Danio rerio: one gene and its partner. The main gene of each other region encodes a partner of the protein of the gene in region 2 in a complex. Links are inferred from orthologs where the notes say so. Each region holds a gene or a part of one and is shown on either strand. Other genes may lie near its edges. The genes, in order: cplane2 and fuz.

Region 1 (4,336 bases), on a different chromosome or scaffold from region 2:
ATCACCACGTATTGTAAATTAATAATAATAATTCCTTACATTTATATAGCGCTTTTCTGAACACTCAAAGTGCTTTACACATTTTTGGTGGGAATCACCTCATCCACCACCAGTGTGCAGCATTCACCTGAATGACACAACAGCAACTACAATGCACCAGAATGCTCCCACACACCATGAGGAGAGGGGACAGAGTAATAAAGCCAATTATGATATGGGGATGGTTAGGAGGCAGTGGGCAAATTTGAAACTTTTAAAAACCCTTTTTCAAAGGACACAGGGAGTCAGTACCTCGGTTTAATATCTCATCTGAAAAGACATCACTCACTGAGCGGTATAAAGCCCCAATCAACATACTGGGGCATTAGGACCCACACACTGGTTGAGCGCCCCCTGCTGTTCTCACTAACACCATTTCTAGCAGCAACCTAGCTTTCACATGTGGTTTCCCATCCAGGTCCTGACCAGGTGCAGCCCTGCTTAGCTTTAAGGCCTGTTTCCTCTGAGTGGTACAGTACGGTATGGTTCGGTTTGGTACGCTTTTATGGCCGTTTCCACTGTCAAAAGGCATACCTAACCAAACCGTACCGTACCACTTTTTCAGCACCTTTTCGAAAGGGTCCCAAACACAAGAAAGGGTACCAAAAGGCGGAGCTAGGCGCGCAGCTGATTATGTCATTCGTTTACGCAACAAAAAGCCAGAATGTAAACAAAGTCCATGTTTGAAATACACAGTGAGAGATTTATATATACATATAATAACTAGCCATGGTCGATCCGGGCTTAAACAAACCTTGTCGTCGTCTTGATGAACAGCCACAAACCCATGGAGTAGAGCAGAATCTACCCTGTGCCGCATAGTTTTTTACGAGCCAGTCTGTAGCATGAGCGGTTTCGCTTTCTTGCTTGCGCTTGCCACGCATCTATATCTGAAATAACAAACTTCTTGAGCTGATGATAATAACGTGCGCTTGATTATTGACAAGCTTTGGAAACCCGATCTTGTGAGAAGCTGACAAACTTGAGAATGACACATTCAGAAAGAAAAGGACAAACGCGAGAGTGGAGGGCGGAAAAAAAGGGGAAGCAAAGTAACACGTTATTTCTTTAGCCAACGTGAACAAACTGCCTTGTTTTATTTTTTATCATCACCTTTTGGACTAATACGAACTGGGAATGATGGAATGACTCTCTAACAGAGGCTGCATGAGCTGCTGAAGATTACAGACACAGATGAGAGGTTTTCACTGACTGTAGGCTATACTTTGTTTTGTTTTGAACCTAATTAAGGACGAATTGTATGCTGTGTGTACTTTTTCTGTAGTTGGTAACATATCGGGGACTGTAAGGGGCTGTATGTGTTCATATATGTTCATTTGTTTATTTTTTTAATATAATTACAGACGTTGCAGTAGACTATTTCGCAGTGTCATTGATCTGCAGTTATAATCAACTCATGTTCATAGAGAAGTTAGTAATAAACATTTATACACAAATATTTATGTGTAAAGCATTGTGAGAAGTGCTTTTCATATGATATGCGAGCGACCCCTAAAGCTTTATTGTAGACATTTTCTCAAGCGAAAATGACGTCGACTGAAACTTTGTCATTCAGCACGCCCACCAAAAGGGTACCCTTGGTAGTGGAAACGCAAGCCTGATAAGGTGACCCGTACTGACCCGAACCGTACCGTACTGTACCAGTCAGTGGAAACAAGCCATTAGTGAGCAACCATGTGCGAGTTGCAGAAAGTTAGCTCTCGGATGGGATGATATCTTGAAAGCTTGACGTTATCAATATCATTGTTGAAAAAATACTGGATGTTATTATTAAGCATGTTTGTCATAGATTTTTTTTTATTTGTTCAACAATTAAGAGTGTTTTGATATGGCTGCACACAATCCCAGTAACACAATTTTGGGGTTTAACACCATTTTTGTTCAGTCTAATGTAAAAGAAAAGAAAGCGTTTATTTCATAGGATTTGATCAGTTTGTGTTTGCTTTAAATTAAATACTTTTTACAAATCGTTCTCTTAATTTGTATTTTTTTTCTGCTACACTGAGCCATAAATTTCCACTTCAGCAGCATTTACATCTGCATTCTGAATGTTTTTAAAGAGGGATATGCTAATACATAATTAATTTTCCGGATAATATGATTAACATTCTGTTCCACAAATAAATTTGTAAATGTATAGTATTTCTGGCTTCTGTTATTTGGTATTTTCTCTATTATGGAGTGGCAAAAATAGCTAACCAAAATCCCCTTAGCAACCGTTGCCTCAAAGGTGTCATCAATAAAAACATAAATAGGTCTAAATAAATATTAATAATACCTTAATTTCCCTGCAAATGTCCGAGGTGAAAACAATAATTTAAAAAATAAGAAGAAACGTGATTATGAGTCTGATTTGTGTTGGTTTGCTTACCTGTGGTCTCGTAGTGCATTTTGGGCAGGTCGAGTCCAGCGAGACGGGCAGCAAGCGCGCTCTTCCCCACTCCAGTTTTACCTGAGAGAAACACCTTGTAGCGAACGAGGTCCACATTCATCTGAGGAGGCATCATTGGCGCCTCTAAGAGCCCTTCACGTTATTTTAACAAAACCGAAATAATAATTTATTTTTATGTTGACTACAGCAAAAAAGCGAACAAACTATAAGTGATGCCTATTAAGTTACATTAGTGCTGTATCCATGGTCATCATCCTTACCAAACTTTCGCCGTCTCTTCTTGTGCAGTATTTTGCTGAAAAACTCTCTGCTATCAGGACAGCGGTGCCAGTCTGACACGATAATGGATCCAGGTGGGACAGACATTTTAATTTAACACAAGTGCAGAAAGATATTGTGCACTGTATTGTGTGATATCAAGTAACTTTCTATTCGCGAACGTGAAGCCATCTGATTTGAACATCAAAATGTAATACGTCAAAATAAAAGTCCGTTATTAAACGCCTAAAATCGTGTAAAACTACTGATAAACTGAACTGAAGCTGAACTAGCAAACATGTTAAAGATGAGTCAAAATGGACATTTATTATTATAGAATATTTTAGGATTTATCATATTATGTAATTAATTCGTTCATATTTTCTTTCCAACTAGAGATGACACCTCTTTTTTTCAATGGCAAATATGTGTTTATATTTTAAATGAACGCAAAAAGGACTTTTTTATACATAAAACCAGCAACTTGTTTTTATTCTGCTTTGTCATTCACAATGTAGTTCTTTCCCATGTCTTTTATCTTTGCCATTTTATCCAGCCCATTTCCCCTGGTCAAGACATTACAAATTCTGATTAACAAAGAAGTTGCTTATATGCAAATCAATAGTCTTCTTTTCTGAGGGAAAGAACTACAATCCTATGAAGCATTGTGAATGAAACAAAATATTCGACATAAAACTTCCAGTTAGTATAAAATTGTTGACTGAATAGAAACAATATATTTGTAATTATTTGTAAAAACTTGTATTGTAGAATAAGCAGTGCTGCATGGTGGGTGGGAAGAATTAAAGATCTATTTTGGTGCACTTCGATTGCTGAAGAAATTTAAATTTGTTGAATGTTATGGGTAATGTAGTTTTTGGCCTAAATTCCACTATTATCCAAATAATAGTGCTTGAACTATAGTACTTGAACTGATAAAAACAGATGGGTTCAACTAAAGCACACACAACAACCTCAAAACCATCTGTATTTAAAGGCTTAAGTGTTATTGATAAAAATATGAGTAACTCCAAATGTTGTGCTCTATATAAATCACAATCCGATCAATTCTAAGCAGACAAAAAGGAATTCTCACCCTACATTTTCTTCTTATTCGGTATTTAAAATAGGTAAGGACATACTAGCAAACTAAGATGAAACCAGACCATGAAATTAAATGTACAGGTGTATTAGTACATCATGTTATCTTTATTGAGAGGCCACAGCTCTTGCATATTACAACTGTTGGCTTTGATAAGGCAAACGCAAGAATGAATCCACCAGCTAATCGACAAAGAAAAACAAAAAAGCTTTTGGAGAAGGTGGATCCCACAGGCATGCAGCAATGGCTCAGAATGCAATGTACAGCATCATATATACAAAACCAAAAGTGAGACCCCAAAAAATGGCACATAGCATTTTCGACAGACCTACTAACATAAAGAGAATGACTTTAATTGGACATACAAACTTAAAAAAGAGAGAGATAGAGAGAGATCCTCCGTAGAAGTGTAGAACTCAACCAAAAATATAGCCGTTTTCCTTGTCTTTTTGCGACATCTAATCAAAAGACGTCTCCAATGAGATATCAAAACGGAGGTATGACGATATTGCATTTCTAGAATA
Region 2 (4,323 bases):
TGCAGACAGTTCACTCAAATTTCTTAATTCTGCAATCATTTACTCATACACTTGTTCTAAACTCGTACAAATTTCTTCTGTCAAGAACAAAGGAATATACTGAAGAAATTTGGAAGCTTGGAAATTTCATGGACTGTTTTCAATTGGAGAAATGAACTCAAACTGATTTAAACCCCTTGAGTTCGAGTAAACAGTGAGTACATTTTCGGTAATGGGTGAACTATCTCTTTAAATGATCCGAAACATTACCAATAATAACATAAAGACACAAAGAATGCAACTCGGCCTGAACCATAGACCATTTTGAGAGATGTAAACAAACAATGGTCCCAATTAATGTATTTTCTGTTTTACATTTTAACTTAGCTTCTGAGAATCCAAGAGCCACATATTGGTTATGATGGCTGTTTTAACATTATAATTAAATTGCCTCTTGACCAATGACATGACCACATTGAAATGGTCTGCAGAGACAGTTCACCCAAATGTCTTAATTCTGTAATCATTTACTCAATGTCCTAGTGAAAAAAACAGCTTAAACCAGCCCAGGCTGGTTGGCTGGTTATAGCTGGTCGACCAGGCTGGTTTTAGAGGGGTTTTGGCCATTTCCAGGTTGGTTTCCAGCCATTTCCAACCTGGTCTTAGCTGGTCAGGCTGAGAGATGACCAGCTTGACCAGCCTAGCCAGGCTAGGAGCCCAGTTAAAACCAGCTATATTCAGCTTAAACCAGGCTGGTCAAGTTGGTTTTAGCTGGATTTAGCTGGTCATTTTCCAGCCTGACCAGCTAAAACCAGGCTGGAAATGGCCAAAATCCCTTTAAAACCAGCCAACCAGCCTAGGCTGGTTTAAGCTGAATTTTTCAGCAGGGTCACTTGATCTAAACTGGTTTGATTTCTTCTGTTCAGAACAAATGATTAGAAAGCTGGGATGAAAATTGCACGGACTGTGTTCAACATGACAGAAGCACAAATGGATTTGAAACCACTTGAGGTTGAGGAAACATGACTACACTTTTTATTATTGGGCGAACTATCCCTTTAATAAATTGAAACATTACCAATAATAACATAAAAAACACAAAAAAACTTGCCATAAAACCAAGAAAAATACTAACATGAATGAAGTTTTTTCTCCTTGCACACACTTGAAGTCTCCGGAAGATGGCGGAGTGGATCTTATTGTTACCCAAAAACTTTCATCGAGTTGCGAAGAAGAAGGAAGCGCTGTGGCTGTTGTTGTCAGAGATGTTGCTGTGGAGACGCTACATTTGCAACTTTATAATTCAGGTGAGACAAGACACAAATGTTTTTATTATTATGTTATTATGTTATTATTTCCTACTCAACGTATTTTAGCGAACGCTTATTAAATTTACACGATAAAATGCCTCAGTGTGGATTAGCAGATTAGTTTTGTATAACGTTTTGCATAATGAAGCATGCCAAATGTAATTCTGAATCGTGTGTTGTGTTTGCTCGTCCATTTTGCATGAAGACCAGATTTTCCCGTTTGGGTGAGGTGATTTTCTTTAAAGACTGACGTAAAGTTGGTTTTGAGCAATTCCAGCGTTATGGATGTGACATTTGCAGTAAAAACTCAACCCATAAATTGACAGAGAAAGTATATGTTAACATTTTATTGAAAAATTTGATTATATTTTCTAGAGCAACTAGCCACAAAGTTATGGGAGCAGAAAAATATCAATCTGTAAACGTGTTTTGTACTTTAAATGTGGAAAATAAGCATGCCTTATGGATGTGACAAAAAAAAGTCTGCGAGTTTACAGTATACAACACACTTTGTAGAAATTATGTGAATTAAACTGCACAACCCAAAAGAAATAATGCTAATCAAAAGGATTTGAGTCGGCTCTCTATAAAACAAAAATGATTGGTTTTATTTTATTTAATATTTTCACATTTCTGATGAAAAAGTGTTGTTATGGATGTGACATCTCTCTGTTATGGATGTGACGCATGTGAAATTACCATTTGTGTGACTTTGGTAAATCAAATAGTAATAGTTTGAAAACATTAACAGATGCTTTTTGAGTATTTTTAAAGTACTGTAAAATACTTGCCTACACAAAAAAACAGAAATGGTTTTCCGTATTTTGGTAAAAACTTAATTTTTTTTTCATGGCAAGGTTGACATTTGCACGGAATTGCTCTTTTACATTCACAAATTCGCTCAGTGACAACTTTTGACGTGCTCCTAATGTTTTCCATGGTACTTTGAATACTCGGTCTGACATAATATGCAAGTATGACTTCAAAACAACATTAGCAATATTTATTTAACTGTGAATTCACTATTGTAAGTTACTTTGTCTCTTGGTCATTGGCTGCTAATGATTTTTCAAGAGTAGTTTATAAAGTTATATTATCAAGGAGAAAGTCCAAATATGTGAATATAAATCCAACTTTGCCTTGACTTAAGTTTTAGTTAAAGGGATAGTTCACCACAGAGTTACATTTTACTCACTTTTTACCCTTCCTCAAATGGCTTTTTAAACCAGTTGATACCAGAAGTTTACATACACTGTATAAAAAGGCACTTTAGTCAGATGTCAATGTGAGTAATCTTTTTCTCTTTTCGTAAGTTAGGTTTATCATATTTGTTTCTGTTCTGCTTAATAGCAGAATTATAAGAGATATTTTTTGAGAAACTTTTTTTGAAAGTCAAGATTATATAAAATACGATTATTATGCCTCTAAAAAAGCTTAAAGGATGGTGTAAAGGTTTTTGGAGTTTCTGATTGGCTAGCTGACAACATTTGAGTTAATTGGAGGCACAACTGTAGAAACTGTAAACTTTTGACTGTCTAGAACAGGTGTGGGCAAACAGGATCCTGGAGGGCCAGTGTCCTGCATAGTTTAGCTCCAACCCTATTCAAACAGACCTCCCTGTAGAGTTCAAGTGATCTTGAAGACACTGATGAGTTTGTTCAGGTGTGTTTGACTAGTGTTGGAACAAAACTCTGCAGGGACACCGGCCCTCAAGGACCAAGTTTGCCCATCCCTGGTCTAGAAATTATAAAAAAAAATTCTTTACAAATTTTCTCTCATTATTCTGGCATTTAGCAAATGTAAATCATGTAGGTAATCCTAACGGACCTAAAATAGTAAACGTTTAGTATGATTTACCATCAGACATTGTTTTTTTAAATGGTTATGTTACTTTTTTTTTAAAGTGTAAGTAAACTTCTGGTTTCACCTGTAAATGTGAAATCATCAACAAAAACTTGAACCCCTTCTATGTTTACAAAAAAATCCGGAACGTCTTTGCCTGTGTGAACAGCGCTTTTTAGAATTTACCGGTAAAGTCGTTCTGGTAATTTTCCGGATATTTACCACTATCGCTGTGTGAAAGGGGCTAGGGACTTGCCTAATTACCCTAAGTTGCCCTTAACCTAGTTAAGCCTTTAAGCTGAATTAGAGCTGCACGATTCTGGATAAAATAAGAATCGCGATTTTTTTTGCTTAAAATAAAGATCACCATTTTCTCACGATTCTGTAGATGTAAAATAAAGGAATGGTAAAAACAGACATATGGCACAACATCGCTAATAATATTATGTGTAGGTCTACTGGTGTCTATAAATAATTCTATTCTACTTATAATAATTCTGACGTTGAATTATTATGTTTGAGATATATGCTTGCAATCTGTCATATTAGACTATTTAATTCACTGGTAAAATCAGACATTTGCCATCATCAGATTATATTCAGCAATATATAAGCTAGAGTAGTTATACTGACATTGTAAACATTTATTTTCATGCACAACTGTGTGTTCGCTATGAAAGAAAACACATCAAATGCTTGTCGTAATCATAACTCTAAAATGCGATGTGATCATTTAAATGAAGTGCACACTTTCGGTTTCATTCTGACTGCTAAGTGCTTGTTCATACTTTGCGCGCGGCTCCCAAACGATCAATCTGTGCCACAAACTGAATATTATTTACAACTGTATTACCTGTTACTCACAACATATGCAGGTTCTGTTCATTAAAGTAGACGTGCGCGTCTATCATTAAGTAGAGCGCCCTCTCTGTGATAACAGCTCACGGTCAGCAGCTCATGTCACGTGTGATTTCCAGATCGCAAAAAAACAAAAATGACATTTTTAGGTGAATTATACCTTATAAATACAGTATGTGACTCATTCAACATCATTTGGAGGTGTCAATGTCACTGAGCAACGTGTGAAACAATGAAAAGACTCGTGCAGCCGCCTTTTCTTCTCTCCTGAACTTGAAAATATGATTGACAGAATCGTAGAAATGCTGGATTAAGATCGTCTAGGGGGTCGAAT

Evidence for each region.
Region 1: the proteins of fuz (region 2) and cplane2 are in contact, whole or in part, in a cryo-EM structure (PDB 7Q3E), measured with the Mus musculus proteins. The link is inferred for Danio rerio from reciprocal best matches to the Homo sapiens genes FUZ and CPLANE2. Residues at the interface, in NP_081652.2 of Mus musculus: Arg26, Arg35, Ile109, Val110, Lys126, Glu127, Arg129, Ala130, Tyr132, Cys133, Asp136, Gln215, Ala216, Ala217, Arg218, Asp219, Tyr220, Pro221, Tyr223, Pro232, Leu238, Thr239, Leu240, Leu241, Arg242, Pro255, Leu256, Gly257, Gln258, Pro261; in NP_001074643.1 of Mus musculus: Glu36, Gly38, Leu39, Leu40, Glu41, Arg42, Val83, His84, His85, Glu86, Thr88, Gly89, Ile90, Gln91, Thr92, Thr93, Val94, Lys124, Phe125, Met128, Glu134.

What each region holds. Positions count from the first base shown.
Region 1 is NC_133181.1:44,001,217-44,005,552, reverse strand, and holds the start of cplane2 (ciliogenesis and planar polarity effector 2), read right to left. Parts: upstream 2,889-4,336; 5' UTR 2,819-2,888; coding exon 2,713-2,818; intron 2,585-2,712; coding exon 2,432-2,584; exon of another isoform or gene 2,339-2,431; intron 1-2,338. UniProt on the Homo sapiens protein: Required for efficient primary cilia initiation, regulating a late step in cilia initiation. Plays a role in the final maturation of the mother centriole and ciliary vesicle that allows extension of the ciliary axoneme.
Region 2 is NC_133177.1:3,682,317-3,686,639, forward strand, and holds the start of fuz (protein fuzzy homolog), read left to right. Parts: upstream 1-1,205; 5' UTR 1,206-1,286; intron 1,287-4,323. UniProt on the Homo sapiens protein: Probable planar cell polarity effector involved in cilium biogenesis. May regulate protein and membrane transport to the cilium.